Linked DNA regions of Schizosaccharomyces pombe. The protein of the gene in region 2 binds, or shares a complex with, the protein of the main gene of each other region. Each region holds a gene or a part of one and is shown on either strand. Other genes may lie near its edges.

Region 1 (6,648 bases), on a different chromosome or scaffold from region 2:
TCTGTACGAACTATATCCGGCTATGGTGATATACTTGTGAGTGGGAGTTATGATTCTTCAATTCGCATTTGGAGAGTTTCAACAGGGGAATGTCTTTACCATCTGCGGGGTCATAGTCTTCGTATATATAGTGTTTTATATGAACCAGAAAGGAATATTTGCATAAGCGGTAGCATGGATAAGTCCATTAGGGTTTGGGATTTATCGACAGGGACTTGTAAATATGTGCTTGAAGGCCATGATGCCTTTGTTACGCTTCTTAATGTATTCCAGAATAGGTTGATATCAGGTTCTGCTGACTCCACAATTAGAATATGGGATTTGAATACTGGGAAACCATTAATGGTTTTGCCGTCTAATTCAGGCTACATTAGTAGCTTTGTGTCAGATGAACACAAAATTATTAGTGGTAATGATGGTTCTGTAAAGTTATGGGATGTTAGGACTGGAAAGCTGTTACGTTTTCTATTAACAGACCTCACAAAAATATGGCATGTCGATTTTGATGCTATGCGTTGTGTGGCTGCAGTGCAGCGTGATGATCAAGCATATTTGGAAGTTATTAATTTTTCCGGATCAAGACCGTAGAAAGTTTCATTTTAACAATATTTAAGAAGACATAATTAGAGTAGTGTCTAACTATTTACATCAGCTACTAACACATATTAAATGTATACAATGTAAAATTAACAGCCAAAGCCTATCAAAAGTAAATAAGTAACGAAGGATTGAATAAATTATGCTGGTTGGTTTTGTAACTGGTATTGAATTAACATTGGGAAAAACTTCCAGATAGAAAAATCCGGCCAGTAGAAATCGATGAATTTTATCTCCGTATTTTTGTGACACTGATAAAATTAGTTGAATATCTTTGACTAGAAAATTAGGAGAATTTTTACTTACCTGCCATAACATAAAATCAGATAGACGCTCCACACCGCTAGTGCGAATCAACAAGTCTAAAGGAAGACTATCTTTTATCAATAGGTTTTTTTCAAATATATCTTCATCTATATCTTCTGGAGTGATTGTACCATCTTCTGCCATTTTTACTATTGATTGCACAGAAGTAGCAATTTCATGTCGAGAAGTGTATGGAAAGCAAACATTTAATGTTGCCCTAAGATGTCAATTAGCAAAATAAAAATTTGAAAAATTTCACATACTTTGTGTTATGTTTTGTAATTTCCACAGCCTTTAGAGCAGTTTCTAAAACGTCAGGTTGCAACCTGCTAAGATCGCCAACAATGCGAATACGGATCCCATACTGATCAACCAAATCACCATGAGCAGTAATTTGCGTTAAGCTGTTTTTTGCAATCTCCATTAACATATCAACTTCATATTTAGATCGCTTAAAATTTTCAATGGAGAATGTGAAAGCCGATACTTCTTTAACTCCTAACTTCAGACACACTTTTAATAGCTTACGCAGGGTTAGTTAATGTACCAAATTGTGCAGAACGTAGACGGATACCAATGCGCAAAACATGGAGAAACGGTACGTTTAACCTTCTATTAATGTTCTTTAAACTTACAGATTTTAAAGCTTCAAAACCTGAGCTATGACCCTCGATAGTTTCCATCCTTCTTTGACGAGCCCACCGTCGATTGCCATCCATTACAAAGGCTATGTGTTGTGGTACTTTGCCACGTTTAATTGTATTTATCATCATCGTTTCTAATTGATCAAGTGTCCATTGTAATGGAGGACAGTGAATAAACCAGCCTGATAAATTACCCATATTGTCAAGATATTTTGTCAATTCTTTTCTTTTCCTTTATAAATGCACGCTAAATATCAAAGAGAAATAATTATCTTGATAAACAATTATTTTCAAAAAACGATTAGATGTTTTTGACGCTTCTATAAAACACTCAGGTTATCCGGTTCTAGATATGTTTTATAAGTATAATTACCAAGCACGCTAGAAAAGGATTTTTAGCTAAGGAAATATACTTTCAATCGTAAACGAATGGAACAAAGAGACGCTAGTTTAAGACCAAACGCTTTTGTATTTTTTTTTAAAAATCACGAAAGAAATATTATTTTTTGTACAAATAAGTAAGACAGACAAAATTCAAACAAAACCACAAAATACTGTTTTCAAAGTGAGACGTGCGACCTTTGGGTCTAACTAGTCTAACGCAAGTGTCTCAGAAATGAAGCCAGTTCATTTAAGAGTGTCGTTAAGCCTCCTTATTTTTAATACCATCCTTAAGTTACGCTAATTAGAATCAAAATATTACAACTAAAGACTTTTCGCTCAAACCCTCTACCAGCACTTTCCTGTTCAAAAGATGAGGCCTATCATTTTACAGGGTCATGAGCGTCCTTTGACTCAAATAAAATATAATCACGATGTAGGTTTAATAACCGTCCATTATATGTGGAAAATTTACTAATTTTTGTGTGTAGGGTGATTTATTATTCTCATGTGCCAAGGATAAAGTGATTAATGTCTGGTTTTCACACAATGGTGAACGCCTAGGTACATATGAGGGTCATACTGGTGCAATTTGGACTTGTGATATTAATAGTACGTGAAAATTGGTGGTGATGTATGTTGGATTAAGACATCTAAAGGTATACGGATTATGGAAGTATAAGGAAACACGAATAATGAAACATATCATGACTCTAATAAATGTATTTTTTTTATTAGTCGTCCGATTGCAGATGGTTATACTCGTGATCCACGATTCTGAGTTGGCGTAGTACTTAAAGTTAAATATGCATGGTGCATCTCCTTTACTTATATTAATGCTACGTTTACCTCACTTCACTTCCTCGTGGAAAGCATTTAAACTTCTTTTAAATCCTTTTCCTTCTTCTTGATGCCTCAAATCCAACTAGATCATCTGTTCCTTTTCCAATGGTTACTAACTGAAACAGAAAGTAGCACTTTAATGGTTAGTGGAGCCGCTGACAATACCATGCGTCTTTGGGATGTTAAAACAGGAAAGCAGTTGTACAAGTGGGAATTTCCTACTGCTGTCAAACGTGTTGAGTTCAACGAAGATGATACCCGTATTCTTGCTGTTACCGAGGAACGTATGGGTTATGCTGGTACCGTCACTGTTTTCCGTGTTCCTATTTCGGAAAGCGATGCCGCTGCTGAAACCCCCCTTTACGTTATTACTACTCGTGAATCTAAAGCAACGGTCGCTGGATGGTCTTACTTGAGCAAGTTTCTCTTTACTGGTCATGAAGATGGCTCCGTTTCCAGATACGATGCTATAACCGGAGAATTCGTTGAATCTAAACAAGTTCATAATTCTGGTTCTACTATTACTGATCTTCAGTTTTATCCTGATCGTACTTACTTCATCACTTCTTGCAAGGATACGACTGCTAAAGCTATTGATGTTGATTCTTTTGAAGTCATCAAAACATACCTTACTGATACGCCTCTTAATACTTCTAGTTTTACTCCTGTCCAAGACTTCGTTATTTTAGGAGGTGGTCAAGAAGCCCGTGATGTTACTACTACTGCTGCTAGACAGGGTAAATTTGAAGCACGTTTTTATCATGCGATTTTAGAAGAAGAGTTAGGCCGCGTTAAGGGTCATTTCGGTCCTATCAACACAATAGCTGTCCATCCCAAAGGAACCGGTTATGCTAGTGGTGGAGAAGATGGTTATGTTCGGGTGCACTTCTTCGATAAAAACTACTTTGACTTCAAGTATACATTGTAGGTTAATTTTATTCAAAAAACTGTTGATAGTATAGTAATGGACAACGGAACTTTTTTCCAAAGATGTATCATTTTCGTTTAGGGAGCATTATATGAAAAATAACCTTCTATGAGTACAAGAGTTTTTTAATAAATTCCATTCAAAATTCAAATGTTTTAAAGTGAAAAGTAATGTAATTGTCATATTCCGTAAAGCAACTAACTTATCAAACGCTTCTTTTAACGAGCTTTTGAAACATGTTTGAGGAGAACAGCCCCAGAAATTATAATTGCTCCAAACCATATGTAGTTGTCTATCTTGCTGTAGGCTGGAGTCGTTATTTCTCGATAACTAGGTGTTTTTTTTGGGAAGTATCCCAAAAGTCGGTTGATGAGATTTTCGTCGAGCATGGCAAGTTCCTCCAAAGACCACAGTTCGCAAATCTCAATCATCCATCTCATTCTTTTGCGACTGTTTTCAGGTTCGGGAACAATGTCTCGTAATTTTTGTCGTAAAAGGCCAGTTTTTTCCAATGCCATACCAGTAGCTGGATTGATTGAACTTTCGATTTTTTTTCGTATTAAACTGGCAAGTTTTGGACCTTTACCATTGGTGCTAACCATAATTTGTAGAGGGCCGTTACGGATTTCAGACCCAAAGTAGAAATCACATTCAGGTGGAATATCCGCCGCATTGACCGGGATTTTTTTGCTTTTGCATAACTTATAAATTTCGGAAGACAAGCTGGGATCATCTATGGCTGTAAGTACCATGTTTACATCGTCAGACAAATCTTCGACTAGAAATCCCCTGTCTCGCCATTCAACTTGCTTCTCCTGTATTCTCCAAGCCACTTCTTTACAAAGACCAGCTTTTGGACTTACAACGATAACATGGGCATCCGCATTCAAAACATGCAATATACGCCCAGCTGCCACAACGCCACCTCCAACAATTAATACTTTTTTACCTTGTGCACGCCAAGCAATAATTAATGATCTAAAGCTTAGATTAGCCTAAAAATTACCTTGAGATACATCAAAAAACTTTGCTAGCTTTCATTTTGTATGCTTTGCTAATTTTTCAATTCTGTGTAGATGAAAGTTAAGATACTAAAAAGCTGAAAATGATTTATAGAGCCTTGTAACTTCATAAAGATGCTTGACTTACCCACCAGGCTGCACAGACTGATATTTTGAAGCCATTATTCAAATTTTATCTTAACCAAGTGTAGGTGTTCCTGTATACTTGAGAATTATAGTATCGCCAATTACAATTCGACATTCAGTATCTGCTTCCCTATACGGGTTAATAGTTGGGAATCCTATTACGCGTATACTATTCGTTTATTTAAGACCTAAATTTTCCAGTGAATTAAAACTACCTTGTGAATAAAATCCCGAGGACGTGCAAATTTTTGAAACTATTTCATAGCACCAACTAAGCATATTCCTATACATCATAGATTAATTAATATGCTAAATTTATATATTTTTTTCATTGACAAGAAATATCCATACAAAAGTAATAGATGAAAGTGGCTCTTAGACTACTTAGTCGTATTTAAATAAGACGTTAAAATTCTTCATTAATCTCCTTACCATGTATACCAATGTGGTATAAACAAATTTGCGACGTCAAAGATTCATTTTTTGAAAACGCCCTGAACACAAATGTGTTAAAATAAGCTTCTTCCAGAAGGCCAGGTGTGTCCGAGAATTTTGGAAGATAGTAATAATTTACTTCGAACACCGAAGACAAAGAAACAGGAATCGTGGCAAGCAAAACCAAGTTGTTCATGTTGCTTAAAATTTGATAATTGATATCATTGATAAGCCCAAACATTTGGATTTCACGCGGGAAATAAGAATCATCACCATGTATTGGAAAAATTAGTGAAATATGTCGCACGTACATTGGTCGATTTAAACGCACAGAAACCTGTACAGTATCTTCGTAATTACACCAATTACTATTGATGCTTGTGTCAAGTAAAGCCGTCGGTAGATTTGCTTTTTTTCCCCAGTAATCCCTTAAAATGTCAGAAAATTTAGGCTTAGGAAATGTCCATCCGTAGTCCACGACAGCACCAACAACTTTCAAGGCAAAGTCCGGGTGATCAGCAACATTTCTCTGGGAACAAGAATGTTTTATGTATTTTTCAACTCTTTTTTCTAAGTTTGAATTGAGTTTTTGATGAACAGATTCCTCAAGGTCTTTATGATAATAAGAATATGTGGCATCAAACTGCTTCGCCAAAAGATTTTTAGCAGCATCTTTTTTTAAATATAAACCGGAGTTTATGATTGAAAAATTGGTGGTCGATCTATTGCCATAAAAAGACTGTGATGAGTTGTGTCGCTTTACAATATACATAGCTTCTTTAGAGCTTTGAGCAATGTTCCGTAATATATCTTTCAAACAAAGAATATCAAGATTGACACTTTCGTGTAAATCTTCAATGCAAAGTAAATTAAAAATAGACTCTCCATTGTTAATTCTCAGAAAGCCCCGATACGAAGGATTTCGCAATAAATTGTAATGTTCGGCAAAAGAACAAATGGCTTGAACACTCTTATTGACTAATGAAATCGGGATGTTCCCAGGGTGTTTTTCGGAAACAGGCAGATGCGACACTAGGTATATGTCTTTTTCAATAAAATCTAGGTAAGTGTTCAGTAGAGGGTTAACAGAATCATTTATATCCTGTATTTTAAGATCATAAGTACTCATTAAATTTCTATCCCAAAAATGTAATAAAACATCTTCAGGGCTAATTGGATTTTGATAAAGAAGTGTCTTTGCCTCTGTAAGGTTTGACTGTAGCTTTAGCAATGGCATTATAGAATCACGTTCATTATATGTTGAAGAGGAATTACCAAATTTGGATTTAAACAGAGATTTCGCTTGTTCCAAGTGTTTGCCAAAACTTATATTAAAATTTGAAGGAATGAACCGAAAAGGAATTCT
Region 2 (8,932 bases):
GAAAGAGGCCACTCCGATGGAAATGGATGAAGAAAAAAGTCAGGATATAAGCATCAACGGCAACTCTAAAAAAGAAGAACCTAAGTCTGAAACTTTAGAGAACTTCACGCGGGTTGTTCCTGCTCAGCTTCCATATATTTCATTTAACCTTAATGGCCGTTATTATCCGGTTCGCAAATTTACCGGTGGTGTTCTTATGCTTATCGATCGTGAGTCTGATAAAGCTCCAGATTTAATTGAACTGAATAGAGACGCTGTACCTGCTAGTGCAGATACAGAGCCTGGTGAACAGGAGGCCTCTCCTCCTGAAGATTTTGAATACCCATTTGATGATGATGATTAGATTCCCAGAAGTACATCCTGCTAGTCTCAAAAAACCATATACGTTTGTAAGAACATCTTGATTGTTACTTGCATCTCTTCAGATTAAATACAAACGTTTTCATATGTTAATAGACTTGTAGTTTGAAGTTAACGTATTTATTCTACGGAACTGAGTGTTCGGAAGATTGCTAGACAATTTCATTTTGATGATAAATTTAAAAAGTTTTCAATTACGTTTTTTAAATTAAATATCATGTTTTTTACGTTGATTTGGTATTATTGCCTTTTATTAGTAACAATGCTTATTCATCTATATAACCAGCCTGCCGGTAATTAGATTTTTGAATTATAGCTATGAAATGTATTTTGAAAGTGTTCAATACCTATTGTACAAAAATTGAAATGTGTTATGATAATCGTGAACTAAAAGTATCTTAGCTTATGATTCTAAACTAAGTTGAAAATATTGTAAGGGATGGTGAATGCTCTCCTCCAGCGAACCGACATTTGGATGAGTAAGCTCAAAAACACGCGTACACGCAATATGATAATGCCTCGCTTTAACTGCCTCAACAACTTCACGGCATCCGGCAGAATCCGGTGCTATTCCCATGGAAGCCAATGCTGACACTAGATTATTTACTGAATATGTACGATAAGGACAACCGTGGGCATCTCCAGGACCAAGTTGAGGCCCTGTAAGGATCTGCTGGCAATTATAACCCTTGTAATTTTTCCTATTTCCTTCAAGTCCATAAGTATGTCTAATATTGTAGCGATATTCTTTGTTAAATTTGTCTTCTGTTACATTTGTAAAACTTTTCCTCCAAAAGACCAAAGCTTCGTCGACAGAAAGGCCAATATCCTGAAAAATTAGTAAATTACTACATAAAAAATAAGTTTCATACTTTTAAAAATAGCCCATATTGAAGACGGCCAAAATGCCGTAGATGCTTATCACGCTTAAGTACTTCATGTAAATGTTTGGCGCATAATGGAAAATGTGAAACAAAACTGTCTACTTGTCCAGCAGTAATAGCACCAGATTTAGGAGCAACTATTGAACTCTCGGGAGCAACGAATCCTTTACTCAAATGGTTGAGAATTGGCAAAAGACGATCGTCTTCATCAAGCCTAGGAAGAGATTTTGCGGTAGACTCAAGCGCTTTTTTTAAGTTTTCTTCAAACTCTTCAACAACTAGACTTACTTGTTCCGAAAATGGTACGTAAGCGTATCCCTTGTGAACGAAAACAGCCCTTCGTTCTACTAAATCCGGAACTTTAAAAAAAGGTACTTTGAAGAAAGATTCGTTTTCTATATTTCTTTGAGAAGAAGCCTGTAGCTTTTCATAAAAAACGTCTTTTTCTTCTTGTGAAACAGATTCCCATTGAAAATCAAGACTATCTATAAACGCTTGACGTTCTCGGGTTTCCTCATTCACAAATCGAAACCGAAATAACGTGGATTCAGCTCTTAAAAACCTGATTCGTAATTCATCACTAATGAATGCGTTAGGAAAAGAATAAAAGCAAGTTTAAATGTATTCATATATATAATGCTTTCTGTTTAACTGAAGCAGCAAATTGATACCCACTTTATGTTCAATTTACTACTTATGCCATAACGCGAACGCATTTATAAGTCTAAATGAGATATTTTTCGACAGACAGCACTCAAATATAGCACATTTTTACTTACGATCTGCTGAAAGCCAGGCGCAGAATGAAATGAGAATAATGATCTTTCCTTCTTTCTTCATCTAAGGAGTTTCCTTTTACAGTCCTAGCCATGTTGCTACTCATCGGCAGACGTTTATCCAGTATCTTTTTTATAATCCCGTTCAATTCATTTTTCGTCTTATTGCGGAGCATTGCTGACTCAATTTCACCCAAAACTAAATAGTTAGCTTACTCCAAAAGAATAGAAAATAATAAAGAAAATGGAAAGCATACCAACTAATCGGTCTATTGCCCATGTTTCAAACTCTTCAATGCTTATTTCAGAGACAGGAGGTTTCTTATAAAAATTAAGTCGCGTAGGATAACTTAAACTCTCAAAACTAGCACTAGAAAAATTTTGATTCTTTTCAACTACTCGACTTTTGGTCGTTCTGAACATGGTGGTTAGCGAAGAGTCTATTTGCGGTAACAAATTGTCGTGCCTCTCACCAAGAAACCTTTTTACTTTGAGTGTCTTTAAACAAATATTTTAAGCTGCTTAACCTTTTTGGTACTAATACAAAACACGTTGCTAATAATTAATGAATTATTTCTTCACTCGTTGTATTCAGAATTATTGAAATGAGAAATGCATACTACAGAAACGTCAACTGTAAAAACTCATCGTCGCTTATAAACTTGACATGTAACATCTTTATTCGATTAGTATCGTTCTACATTTACAATTAACAAGTCAAGCTTTAAGCAGTATTATACAAATTAAAAAAAGTTCAAAGGTTAACGATAATTATCTATTAAATAGAGCTACAAAAGGCTCTTTTTATACACATAACCGCTTTCATGAATTCCAATAGCATGAAAGTAACCAACTACCCTTGTAAGAAAAAGGAACTTACAACTTTCAATAGGAGAACACATTAGTTCATTTAAATTTATCAGCTGTGACATTAGATAATGCATCGTAAAGACTTGACTCCAATATCCAATTGCGACAATAATTAATTGTCGACAGGTTTATTTTCTTATAGACAGTAGGTTTACTACTGTTGTTGTTGATTACGTCTGCTTGGTGGAACATATGCTCCCTTAGAAGGAGCAAGGGTCTCACGAGGAGGAACAGAACCACGAGAGTAGCCACCACGAGAATACCTTGGAGAGTCTCGTGAAACACCGCCAGCACTAGCACCGCCGCGCCTCCAAGCACCAGGACTAGGTGAAGATGCGCCAATATTTGCTCTTCTAGCAGCTGCTTTCTCGGCAAGCTTACGAGATATTTCTTCATCACGCTCTTGCTGAATACGTCTTTGGCGTTCCAATTTCTCAGCCATTTCGCGCTGTTCGCGTTCTTTAGCTTCTCTAGCTGCACGAGTTCTTTCCTCGATAGCACGTTTTTGAGCTTCTTCTTGCTCATGAAGCTCACGGTTTGCCTCTTCCTCAGCAGCACGAGCAGCCTCCTCTTCAGCTTCGCGAATAGCCTCAGCCAATTTTTGTTCGAAAATTTCTTTACGTTGCCTTTCGCGCTCTGCATCAATGACATTTTTAGCTTTGGCGTATGCCTCCTGATATGCTTTATCACGTTCATCGTCAATATTTTGCTTATAGGCATGAATATAGGAAGCAAATTGAGCAAAAGCCTTTTTGTCTTTAATGGCTTGTTCATGCTTACGCTCTTGTACTTCCTTGCGTTGTTTCTCCCTCTCGTAAAAGATTTCGCGGTCATGTTCGGCTTGTTGTTTTGCGTCTTCTTCCCACAATGGGATAGCTTCACGACGATAAGCACGTTCCAAATGGTCGATACGCTTTCCAATAACACGCAAACGTTCGTTCATACTCTTATTTTGCTTTTCGACTTGTTCGATTTGCATAGCTCTCAATTTATCAGCATCCAAATGCTCCAAGTCTTCGGCATTGACTTCCAATCCACCCTTAGCTTTGAGCTCCTCGGCCAACTTTTTAGCTTCGTTAATGCGAATAGCTTCCTTCTCACGACGAATCCTTTCAGCATTACGTTTATTAATTTCTTCTTGAACGCGGAGAGACTCGGCTTCAGATTCTTGCTTTTGTTTGAGAGCGCGTTGAGCAGCAAGCTCAGCTTCACGTTGAGTAGCAAGTGTATCAGCCTGTCCACGACGTAATTCGAGAAGACTACGCTGAGCAATGACCGCTTTACGCTCCTGTTCAACACCAGCCTGAGCCCTTTCGTAGGCAGCCTCGGCTTGTTGCTTGCGTAAAAGGCAGAAATCGGTATCAAAACGCATCAAAACACTAGAAAGGGATTTGGCAATCCGCGTAAGTTGAGATGTAATTAATTCAGATGGAGTAGATTGAAGAGAAACAGAATCCGAAGACTTAATGGGATTAGAAAACAAGTCAGAAGAAAAGCTAATGGAATTTTCAATATGGTTCAAACGAATAGAAAATGCACCTTTCTTGTTACCATTCATAATGAATTTCTCAATTTGACCAGGGTTAAAATCGTAAGGCTCCTCGAATGTAGCAAGGTCCATAACATATTTCAATGAAATGGAATCATAAACTTGAGACAGTTGTTGGAAAAGACGAGTAAGAATAACCTGTTGTAAAGGACGAATGTATTGAGCAGTATCATTACTTTCTGCCAATCTTTTGATGATAGGCTGAAGTTTTTTGCAAATGCTCAATGGATGAAACTCAACTTCCAAAATCTGGTACAAATCACGGATAGCCTGATCACAGAAAGAAAGAACGCCACGAGAAATGGCATCCTTAATTAATGTTTCACGCGTAGGTGTTTTCGATAAGTTTAACAAAAGAGCCAAACGAGCATTCTTGCTCTTGGCATCTTCTGCCTCAATGGAAGGGCCCGATAATTTGTTGGCATCAATAATAGGGATAGAGAGAGCGCTTAAAATTACAAAATTAGCAGTAGCGGGTTTTTGCACATTTGTAAATGTGAAGTACCTATTCCAAGCTGCAGCATGAAGCAAATAATTATCACAAACCAAAAAGATTTTAATCAATTTACGGTAATAATTGCCAAGCATGACTGCAGCAGGAGCCCTCTTAGAGAACGTAAGCAAGCTGTGAATGTCTTCAATGGATCGGAAAGCTTCCTGCCAGAGTTCAAGCTCAACAGCAACGTTTAGCTGAGAGAAACGCATGTCCAGATGACGCTGCATAGTTTCAGCATCATTCAAGTTAATAGAGTGTGGAGCGTTTGAAAATTTAGAAGCATTGCCAAGATGGGACCGAAGGAGTTCACATAGACGGCGAAATTCGGTTTTACGCTGATACTTGAGGCAAAATTGGAATGCAGAGTTAGCAATTAACTGATACATTACTTCTAAACGAGCATTATTACGCAAAATATCAAGAACTGTACGATAAGCATCCCACAAAAATTTCAACCATGGAGTGACCAAAGCACGGTCTGTGCGGCTCTTGGAAAGGTCTCCCGAAACCAAAGACATCATGATGCTCTCGGGAGTTTCAGTAGCCTCAAGATCGTCAACATATTCAACTGATATCTTGTCTGCCTTCTCCTGAGCTTCTTGAACTCTTTTATTAGCAAGTTCAATAAAATGCTTGACTACATTCTCAATAGCGGTAACTGAGGTGTTTTGAACTGCGTTCTTGTAGGTGTACAAGCCTTCCTTTGCAATTTTTCCTTTGCGTAAATGAACACAAAGTTCGATGAAACGCATCATAATAGGCTCGAGAGAAAACCCCTGCGCGTTTCTTGATCTTTTCAAAACTATAGTCTCATGAAGAGATTGCAGTGCTGAGCTGTGCTGATCTAGAGCTATCAGCTCATCGGCAAGCTAATTTATGTTAGTCAAAGTAAGTAAAAAACTCATAATACATACCCTTAGCACATTTTCGGGCTTTCCTTGAGGAGGTGCCATGTTGTGCAGTTGAAAACTTCCCCCTTGTCGTAGTAAAATTTTATTACACGAATAGCGAGCTACCTCGCAGTTTTATATAAGCCACTAAACAAGAGGTACTTAATTCTTGATTTTGCAAAAAAAAATGTTAGCACATGCATATATATATAGTTAGTTGTTCATATCTTTCTTAGGTTTGACTTGAATAAGCATCACTTTTTGTGCAAAGAAATTAGTGGTTTACCGAATACGATAATATGACTAAATTTGAATAGATCGCCTAGTGTGAAGTGCTAACATACTCGTTAATCTATCATGTTTGTTTAAAAAATACCAGTTCAGTTTAGAACAGAGGAAAGCTCTATTTTTGCTTTTATTTGAACGTTTATGGGATAGTAGTCAGATTTTTCTGTTGCCGCTACTAATTACTATCGTTACACAATGTACATCCAAGAAATATTAGTACCGTTATAGTTTTGGAATTTTAGCCGTAGATCTGTTTCTACGCTAATCACCAAGTCCATTCTTTGTTTGATGTATTTGGTGATAAAACTAGTTAGTTCTTAAAATAATCTTTATTGCCGTTGAGTCGATACTCGCTTGAGTTCCTCATCAGGGCTTATGCATTGTTTTATACTTGTAGCATTGTCTAAACTCTTATTTACAATTGGCAACAAACTTATATAAACGTTGAGACCTTACCAGTGAAAGAAGTGTGGTTTGAGCGAAATATTTTCCGAGCCAATCTAAAATTTAAAGTGTTATCCTTGAAAAGTAGCAGAAACTCGCATTACTTTTACTCAAAGCTTGAATAAAGGAAGAAAGATTTAGCGAATATAGTTTGTCAAAGTATTATAATAAAGAGGTCATAACCCTATGTATTCCGAAAGATTTTTTTGTTAAAAAACGCTAAGTCCTCAATCTCTTCGACGCTAGGTAAACTCTAGAGGCCCATTTTGATGAAGCAATTTAATTGTGATTGGTGTAAATGTTAGACTTCTAGAAGAATAAACTAAGTGAAGTATTCGTTGATGGCGGGTACAAAAATATTAGCTTATAAACTATTCACAAAGATTCTTGAAAGGGCTTTTTATCAAGCATCTCGAAAATCTTTGTACTTTCACATCAACTGTATATAATTGTAACTCTTACATTTCCGTAAAATGCAAAATCACGCTTTCCAATTTCCTCTGGTTTTCTTTGAAAACAACACCAATAAATATAAAAAGAGAAAGAACGGGAAGAATAAATTTACCCCTTCCTATGTCCAAACTATTTTCATTTCAGAGTTCAACTGTTTACAATCATCTTTTTATTTCGGTCATTCACGTTACCCCCGCTTATTCTGCTTAATCATCAGCGGCAGAATGCACTATTGAAGTTTAAGCAAAATTGCACCTTTTTCTCGTAAATATAGTTACACCATGAAAGAAATGTAAAAAAGATAGTATGGTAAATCTATCTTGTAAAAGGCTTTCATGCAAACCTTCCGACTTACTTCTACTGGTCGAAATATTCTAAGACCCGATGAACTTGCTTTTCAGCCGAGAGAAGAGATTCCCTATAAATCTTTCCATCCAGACCTACAAATAGACGAACCTTTGGAAATATTAGAAGGTGACCATACACAATATGCAGGCCTTCGTGATTCTTTAGTAACCTATAAATCCGAGAATTCTTATGTGCTTAAAGCTTTGCTCAATGCCAAGATCGAAAACGTAAAGCCAGTAGGTGTTCAAACGGAAAATATTAATCCACAAGAGAAAAAATTTGGATATAAAACTGCGAAACAATTAGATTGGAGTCCAGACGAATATTTCAAGTTCGTTGCTATACATCCTTACTCAAAAACGTCCTTTCCTGTATCCTACGACTTGGATGAGTTAGACACAATGTGGTTAACATATTATAATGAGTTTCAACTTTCATCTAATTCAGAGTGGGAAAATGTTTCTAAAGAATTTTTAGAAATAGTTCTTACCATTATTGAACGCGAATGGCTTTATCTAGAGGCTTGGATGCCTAAGATTGAACCCGTCAGAGTGGAGGATGAACTAGATGGTCGTTGTGTTATTTGTAATGAAGCAGAATGCGAAAACAGTAATGCTATAGTTTTTTGCGATAACTGTAACACTTCTGTTCACCAGAATTGTTATGGAATCCCTTTTGTTCCAGAGGGTCAATGGTTTTGTAAGAAATGTTTACTAGCCCCTCATGAAGTTATATGCTGTGCTTTTTGTCCTGACAGAGATGGTGCGTTTTGCACAACCTTGGATGGACGTTGGTGCCACACAATTTGCGCCATAGCAATCCCTGAAATATCTTTTCACGACACTAGTAGATTAGACTTGGTTCGAAACATTGCTTCAATCCCAAAGTCTCGCTGGAAATTGGTGTGTTGCATTTGTAAACTTCGATGGGGTACTTGTGTGCAATGCTCAGATAAAAATTGTTATGCAGCTTACCATATAACTTGTGCTCGACGTGCAGGTTTTTTTTACAAAATATACTCACATTCTGCAAGTTATGATAGTGTTGATATGGAAACTTATTGTGATAAACATACTCCACCCGATTATTTAAACGGATTGATGAAGCGCTTGTTTCCGTTAGCTGAATTATATTACAAACGCATGGCTACAGACGTTCCACTCAACTTCCAAGCTACTAAAGCGCCTGATTTTGTGCCCGAAGGGCCATGGAAATCGCATCCATTACCGGCTTTTATTGTTGATAAAGTTACCAAAGTTTTATTGTCTTATAATGTTAAAAGGCAAGATCTGCCCTCCATAGTAACTGACATCTGCAAATTTTATCACATGAAACGCCGATCCCGAAAGGATGCGCCATTGCTTAAATCGCAACTCCTTATGGATAGTCTTGAAAATCTCCCGGTGAGGGCTTCTAAAGATCGCGTTAGGTCTTTAGAAGTAGCGAAGGCTCTACAAGATCAATATCAATCATTGCTTACTCTTGTAGAATCTACTGCTAAACGGCAATTATTAAAATGTCAATTATCAAACTTAAGAAAAAAATTTTTGAATTTAAACTATTTTCCTGCTCAA
Region 3 (7,014 bases), on a different chromosome or scaffold from region 2:
AAATGTTTGCCGTATCAATGATATGAGGGTGTGTAAATTTTAAGCAATTAAGATCAGAATTTAGACTATGGCCTAAAAGAACGGTATTGTTGTCCACAGTCTTTTTTAAGTAAGATTGAACATCGGAAAGAACAGTAGTAACATTTCTCAGTTTTTCTTCAGTTATGCCAGAATACTGGGTAACATAATCAGTGACGGGTGATTCTGGTTTTACAAATTCGTCGTAAATAACCTCACTTTTCATGTCTACAATAGTTACTCTGGCTATTTCTAACCCGTTCTCAGTCCGCACCATTTCGCAATCAATAGCAAGAATTTTGGGATTTATAGGAGGAGAATGAAAATCTCCTGCAGAAGCAACCCATCCTGAAGGCTGAGTAACCTCTTCACCCTTCATGACAGTAGGATGTAATGGGTATTCGTCTTCAATGAAAGATTCATAACTCATTAAGTAATCAGATGGTTTGGAAAAACTAGCCATAGCACGTGTTTCTTTATCTCTTTTCTTCTTTTGTTCATTACTCAGAGGAGATTGCAAAAAGGCATTCACCGGAGAAAAGACACGAAATCGATCTCCAGGAGATCTCGTAGGCCATGCGCGATCAAACACTTCACAAAAATCAGGTAATTGAATGGGGCCATTTTCATTTAGCAAATTCGGCAGCAAAAATGAGTGCTTGTTGCCGCGCACGGGTTGAAACCCAAATTGACTAGGCTCCAATCCAGGAACTAAAAGTATCACTGCTCTATGAATCATTTGTTTATTTCTCACTAGAACCCATGAAGGAGCCTGTCCATCAGCTAAACACCAGAATACAAGCTCTTGTAGGTCGCTAATTTTTAGGGGTTTTTGAAGATTGTTTTCCGTAGTTTGCAATCTAGGGTAATTTTCTTCATTTAGCGGTTGCTGAGATTTTTTTAACTTTTTCTTTTTCTTTTTTTTACTCTGAGAGTCGTCATTAGAGTCTGGTGAATCTTTCACTCCATCATTTGAACCATCCATACTTAGGTCTTCTTTTTTTCGCTTCACTTTCCTTTTTTCTCCGTGTGAAGCAACATTCTTTGACTTTTTTTCAATGGAGTCTTCTTGGGTTATCCCATCCTGAAGTTCACCCATGCTTGAGGATCCCATCTTTGACATTTTTTATTTTGGTGGTATCACTATGGTGGTCGGCTATTCCGCGGGCAATGCATCTTCAGATCCTCGGAATACTAATGTGCTTATGTTGATTGCGAGTTTTTATTTGAATTGCAGGCTTTAGCATTGTCTTGTATTATATCCATTAACTAAGGATTTCAAATTTCTTTTTAATCCAAAAAATGTCACAATGACTACATGTTTACTTTAAGTGCTCAATGAGGATATACAAGGAATATACTCAGAAGGTTCAATAAATATTTGAATAAACGTATTTTATATTATACAAAAAAATTGAAATTAAGCAGATTCCAACCTTTTTTTATATTTTTTTCATTGCCTTTTCTGTAAACTCTCATCAATTTTGTTAATAATATCAATGATAATTTCGGAAGCAGGCGATTCAGGACATTCATCAATAAAGCTTTTTCCAAAATCACATGAACGTGCAATCAATGGGTCCAAAGGAATTTTACCCAAGAATGGTAGTCCCATTTCTTTTGCTAACGCTTCACCTCCTCCTGTAGTAATAGTGAATATATTAGACTTGCCTTTGCAAGAAGGACATACAAAACCGCTCATGTTCTCCACTAATCCAAGGATAGGGATGGACGCCTTTCTGCAAAAATCTATTTCTTTACGGACGTCTTGAAGAGCAACCTCTTGAGGAGTAGTAACTACAACAGCACCATCAATTCCGGAATTTTTAAAAAATTGAACCAAAGATAAATGTTCATCGCTAGTTCCCGGAGGAGTATCAACAATCAAATAGTCTAAATTTTCCCAGTTAACGTCTTTGATGAATTGTTTGATCAGCCCGTTTTTTTTGGGCCCCCTCCATATAACAGATGAATCTTCGCTTGGTAATAAAAATCCAATTGACATAACAGCCAAGTTAGGGCATACATAAATAGGGGACCAGCCTTTGCTTGATTGATGGGCTTCCTCCTTTTCAACACCCATTATTCTCGGAATTGAAGGCCCGCAAATATCCACGTCCATTAACCCGATCTGCTTGTCTTCTTCAAGCGATAACCCCCATGCTAATTGCGAAGAGAATGTGGACTTTCCAACACCTCCTTTACCTGATAAAACAAGAATTTTGTGCTTGATTTCTTTCAAGCGTTCTACAACCAATGGTAAATCTGGATCTTCTCCACGAGGTGCTGAAGCGCAAATTTGTTGATTAGGGCATCCTTCACATGCTGATGCAGTTCCTGCATTTTCAGATGACGGTCCGGGGCAATGCTCTGGTGCATCTAAAGGAACAGTTTCTTGGATTTGCATAGAAAAGCCAATATTAAAGCAAATGCTTAGTAAAAGTCTTTATTTCACGTGCTTAGTGAACTTTTAGTAGCTATTTTTGTAAACCACGTATGGTAAATTATAAGTGTAATCCGGTGTAAATTCTCTTCAAACGAATTTTTGCTAAAAGCTTTACCTCTTGTTTTACCACAATATTCTGACTAAGCTTGAAACCGTTTTACGATCTCTTGGCTAGTGGCAATGAGCTATATCGGTTTTCTACTAATCGAGTTCTAATTTTTTTACCGTAATACCCTAAAGTGTGTTAAAAGCAATGTTCATGAAAAAAATCACGTTGGAAGCATCGAAAATCAGATATTTCCAAATGAATTAAACGGCACTTAATTTTCCTTCGCTTCATTTTTACTATTCCAACAAATACATTACTTTACACTTAGCTTCTAATTTACCGAGAAACAGTTCATAAGATTAAAAAATAAAGAAACCGAAAATATAAAACCGATTTAAAGATCTTAGATTTGCACATGTAATTGAGTATTATACATGTAACCTTTTTAATGAACTTTCTACATCCGTCCTTTTTAAGCAGTAGAAGAAGCTTCAAGGGAGGGTCCAGCAGCTTCTTCAAAAGTGTTGGGTGGAACAGAGTACAAGCGTAAAATAGGTCTGTTGGGATCCTTTACAAGGACATATTTTCCATCAGGCATTTTCAAACAGACATCTGCAATAGTACGAACAATACCCCAACCATTAGACAAACTTAAGTTCATTTGGGAAGCCAAATCAGCAGGCTTATAAGCTACAACACCCAAAATGCCGTGGTGCTGAGCGTCACGGGCATTTGAACGACTGACAAAACCAACCTTCATGCTATCAACACCAGCCAATAAAGCTTCGACAGTCCAACGGGCAAGCTTGCAACTATTGTTCTTCATTTCAGTGGCAAACACAGCACCTCTTTGACTTTCGAGCTTGGAACGCCAATCCACAGAACCAGTAACATTTGTAAATTTGGGATCGTACTCATTAAGAGCCTTGATAGAAATGTATTGAACATCGTTCGCAGGATTTTTAACATAACCGTCAACTTCGGTACGAACCATTAGCTTAACAGGCTTTTCGTCTGTCTCGAGAGAAAGATCAACATCCCGATAGATATAACCGTGAGCAGCCAATGGCTCACTTTCTTCCTTAGAATTATAGAAGGGATTGGGATGAGGTAATTTATATTTCTCTTCTTCGGTTTCACGTAAAGCTTGGACGCAGAAGTTTTGGTTAATGTACGTAGCTTCGACAGAAAGGGCTCCAGGAGAATTAACACCTTCGCGGTTGTCAGCGTCCATGGGAGAATCGTATGCGTTTTCATTGACAGTGAGATAATCAAAAGGTCCGCCTTCACGTTTGTCAAAGAATAGCTTTCCACTTTGGTGAGTAATTACAATATCCCAGGGATACACTGAGCGAGTTGAACACATCAATAAAGACAAAATGGAATCCGTAATGAAAATGTTAGCATCACTATTAAGAGCGAGTTTTTGGATAACGGGGTCTTCAGTAGTGGTAGGGTTGTAATGAACACGGTCCAAGGCTTGTAATGGTTTTTCTGATTTAACATGAATCTTGTCAAAAGATTTGTCATAAGGATAAATATAACCATATGAATCCACAGTAACAGGAGCAGCAGCAGCTAAATTGAGCTTAGATAAATGGCTGAACTCAACCTCGTCAAGAAGCTGCCAGTCGTCACCAACAGTAACACTGGCGTTGCGAAGACGTTGATGTTTATCATAATCCTTCCAACCAAACCGACGACCTCTTGCTCCTCCAGCGCCTGAGGATCTAGAAACCACTGTATCACCTGCACCTCTTCCACCAGAAGAACCGTAGCGACCGCCACGACCACCTCGTTGAACGTTTTGTCCTCTACCGCGAACCTTCAATAAAGTGCCGCCGTTGCGAGCGGAAGTGCGTGTACGATTGACAGAACCACGATCGATCACCGAGAAACTGGATTCGTCCTCCGAATGCTGATAACCAAAAATGGACGACGCGCCATAACCATAAGTTTGATATTGGTCACGGAAACGACCAGCAAATGCTCCTTGACGTCCACGTTGTTCACGTCCATCTTTAGGTTGATCAACAGACCAATCTGCAATTTTTCCAAGACGGTCACCTTTACTAAAAGGAGCATAAGGAATATCACCTCCTATCTGTTCCGTTTCAGGAGGTCCCCATGCTGATTTTACGGGTGCTAACTCAGGCAATTTAAATCCAGTTGCCATTTGGGAGTGGTGAAGTTTTCTTCGAAGTGGACGCCAGTATAGTGTGCAAACGAACTGGGAGACGCTAAAACACCAAAGCCAACAATGGTAATATTTGAAGTTCTAAAGCTTTATTTGTAATACAAAAGTACTTAAATGTAATATATATACTTTTTGGTTCGTGAAAAAGTTAAATGTTATACATTTCCTTTTGCAATCAAGGTGCTATATTTGTAGAAAAACTACATCTATTAACAATTAGTATATGTTACTGTATTTATCAAACTACTTCTTTATTTGTGAACCCACATGCCTATTCAGAAGACGATATGTGGAAATCTCAACCACTCACTACATTATAAAACTATAGTAGGTAGAATTACTTTATCATACTAGCAGGTTATATCAGCACTAAATGTTATTAAATTAAAAAATGGGAGAAATTGATATTGAAATAAAAGATATGTTATGCTATAATTTAAAACTGATTACGACATCAGACTTTGCCTTTATAGTCATTGTCTCAAGGCTTAAATGTTTCTGACAAAAGCATGTTTTAGAAAATTTTAATTTCGTCAACGCTGTCTTTTGAAGAAAGAAAAAAATGAACGCCAAGGTTCTCAGACATTCTCTCTTTTCTGTCATCACATGTCGCATAAAAAATATACACATCTAATCCTATTAAAACAATTGTTTGCGAAGAAATTAATGTATAAAAACGGAAAGCACCAAATATTAAGCAGTGTTAAATGACCGCAAAAGCTGCTAAGTAGCAAAGGAGAGAGTTTAGTGCATCACATGATAAAGGATCGCATTGACAGCCTAGCACACGCAAGGAAAAAGAATGATAAAGTATGAATTTAAAATATTAATAATAATGATGGAAATATGTGAGGTCTCTATTAAAGAAACGGAACTAACTTCCTCCAACCCCGTTTTCTTTGCGCTAATCCCTTATAATGATTTATTTCATCTAGGCAGTCCCTTCCATAATTACAGCCTGCCAAGTTTACCAAGAAGTCTCCTTCTTTTTGGTTATAAAAGAAACGAGGATTTTCACCTTCACCAGCACAAGCACCTGGAGGATATGAATTGAAAAGGCGAAGAGGAACGAATCCCATGCCGCTTCGAAGCCAAGCATTATTCTCGTAGAAGTACTCAATTGCATTTTGCTCATCGTGAGGCCAATCCATGTGCTTTTGCCCATAGACTACTGGATCCCAAAGGAAGTCCATCAATCTGCTAGTCCAATCACTTCGACGAACCAGAAAAGAACCCAAACTGAAACCGTTGCAATCTTGCCCTAAAATAAAGTTGATATCTTCACTATAGTCAACAAATGGAATTTCGTGGAAATTTTTTGGATTGAACTCCATGCTATCAGTAATATTCCTGGTCGCAATATGGTCAAGTCTGTTAATAATAAGCTTTTCAAGAGAATATTGAGGTTCCATGATGAATGTTGTTAAATCGACCCACCAAAACCATTCAGCATGAGGGTATTTCTTCATGGCTTCCATGATATAATCTGCTTTTTCCCAAGATTCACGCCATTCATGAGCATATCGTCTCTTTAAGCCTGTGCTCTTCACAAAGAAATGATATCCGTGCCTTTCAGCGTATTTCTTCTTGTTCTCCGTTGAAATCTTCTCCAGCTCCCATTGTCTGGGACTTTTTACATCTAAAACGCCACCTCCGATGTTATTGACAAATATCATAACAACATTACTCTCTTTGGGACGCGTCAAGAGTGTATGCTTTAAAAAGTAGCCTGAGCAGAGCAACAGTACCACAAAGACGAATAACCTATGTAGATGCGTCTTGGTAAAATACTTCCTTCTAGTATCACCTTCTTTGGAATCAAGTACATTGGAAGTGCCTGGCTTAGGGTAAGGAAAGGATTTAAACTTAGCTAATGCTTCTGACTTCTTTTTGGGGTTCCACATTTTTTAATATAATATAAGACTCGACGTTTACGTTAATTCTTCTTATTAACCTTTAAATTATATATTTTCGAATGATAATATGACTACGGCAATGCCGTTTGAGGTTTCACACAGAACTAGGCTGTTTGGCAAAGGCGAAAGTCGTGAGCAAGTAACGTCCCAGTGTATCAAAGCTGGCATAGCCTTGTCGTCGAGTAAATAGCCAAAGTACGCGATAACGTCGGTAAAGTTAAGTAGATTCTGATTGCATAATTTTATTTATTTGTTTACTCAAAAAGTTTTAGCACTTTTATTCTCGCGTTCATCTACTCAGATATGCTAAATAAATTAGCGATAGAAATTTTCCATAAAATATGTCAGTTGCAAAGACTCTGACAGATTTCTCATGGTTTGACGATGA

What was found. The genes of interacting proteins can lie anywhere in the genome.
Region 1: tif301 (region 2) and sum1 share a complex: the UniProt entries of both Schizosaccharomyces pombe proteins name them as parts of the eukaryotic translation initiation factor 3 (eIF-3) complex.
Region 3: tif301 (region 2) and moe1 share a complex: the UniProt entries of both Schizosaccharomyces pombe proteins name them as parts of the eukaryotic translation initiation factor 3 (eIF-3) complex.

The regions. Positions count from the first base shown.
Region 1 is NC_003424.3:5,356,655-5,363,302, forward strand, and holds sum1 (translation initiation factor eIF3i), read left to right. Parts: upstream 1-2,269; 5' UTR 2,270-2,301; coding exon 2,302-2,364; exon of another isoform or gene 2,365-2,419; coding exon 2,420-2,540; exon of another isoform or gene 2,541-2,896; coding exon 2,897-3,699; 3' UTR 3,700-3,850; downstream 3,851-6,648. Other genes in the region: F-box/WD repeat protein Pop2, read left to right, coding at 1-588; rer2 (cis-prenyltransferase), read right to left, coding at 738-848, 904-1,120, 1,167-1,426, 1,539-1,745; met8 (siroheme synthase), read right to left, coding at 3,918-4,677, 4,849-4,883; protein Csi2, read right to left, coding at 5,254-6,648. UniProt on the Schizosaccharomyces pombe protein: Component of the eukaryotic translation initiation factor 3 (eIF-3) complex, which is involved in protein synthesis of a specialized repertoire of mRNAs and, together with other initiation factors, stimulates binding of mRNA and methionyl-tRNAi to the 40S ribosome.
Region 2 is NC_003423.3:3,311,294-3,320,225, reverse strand, and holds tif301 (translation initiation factor eIF3a), read right to left. Parts: upstream 5,896-8,932; 5' UTR 5,889-5,895; coding exon 5,850-5,888; intron 5,805-5,849; coding exon 3,045-5,804; 3' UTR 2,774-3,044; downstream 1-2,773. Other genes in the region: proteasome regulatory subunit Rpn2, read left to right, coding at 1-343; DNA primase large subunit Spp2, read right to left, coding at 764-1,189, 1,233-1,824, 2,024-2,219, 2,278-2,443; histone acetyltransferase complex subunit Nto1, read left to right, coding at 7,346-8,932. UniProt on the Schizosaccharomyces pombe protein: RNA-binding component of the eukaryotic translation initiation factor 3 (eIF-3) complex, which is involved in protein synthesis of a specialized repertoire of mRNAs and, together with other initiation factors, stimulates binding of mRNA and methionyl-tRNAi to the 40S ribosome.
Region 3 is NC_003424.3:4,549,526-4,556,539, reverse strand, and holds moe1 (translation initiation factor eIF3d), read right to left. Parts: upstream 4,701-7,014; 5' UTR 4,690-4,700; coding exon 2,986-4,689; 3' UTR 2,799-2,985; downstream 1-2,798. Other genes in the region: rex1 (putative ribonuclease H70), read right to left, coding at 1-1,117; Fe-sulfur cluster assembly ATPase Nbp35, read right to left, coding at 1,472-2,425; gmh5 (alpha-1,2-galactosyltransferase), read right to left, coding at 5,571-6,614. UniProt on the Schizosaccharomyces pombe protein: mRNA cap-binding component of the eukaryotic translation initiation factor 3 (eIF-3) complex, which is involved in protein synthesis of a specialized repertoire of mRNAs and, together with other initiation factors, stimulates binding of mRNA and methionyl-tRNAi to the 40S ribosome.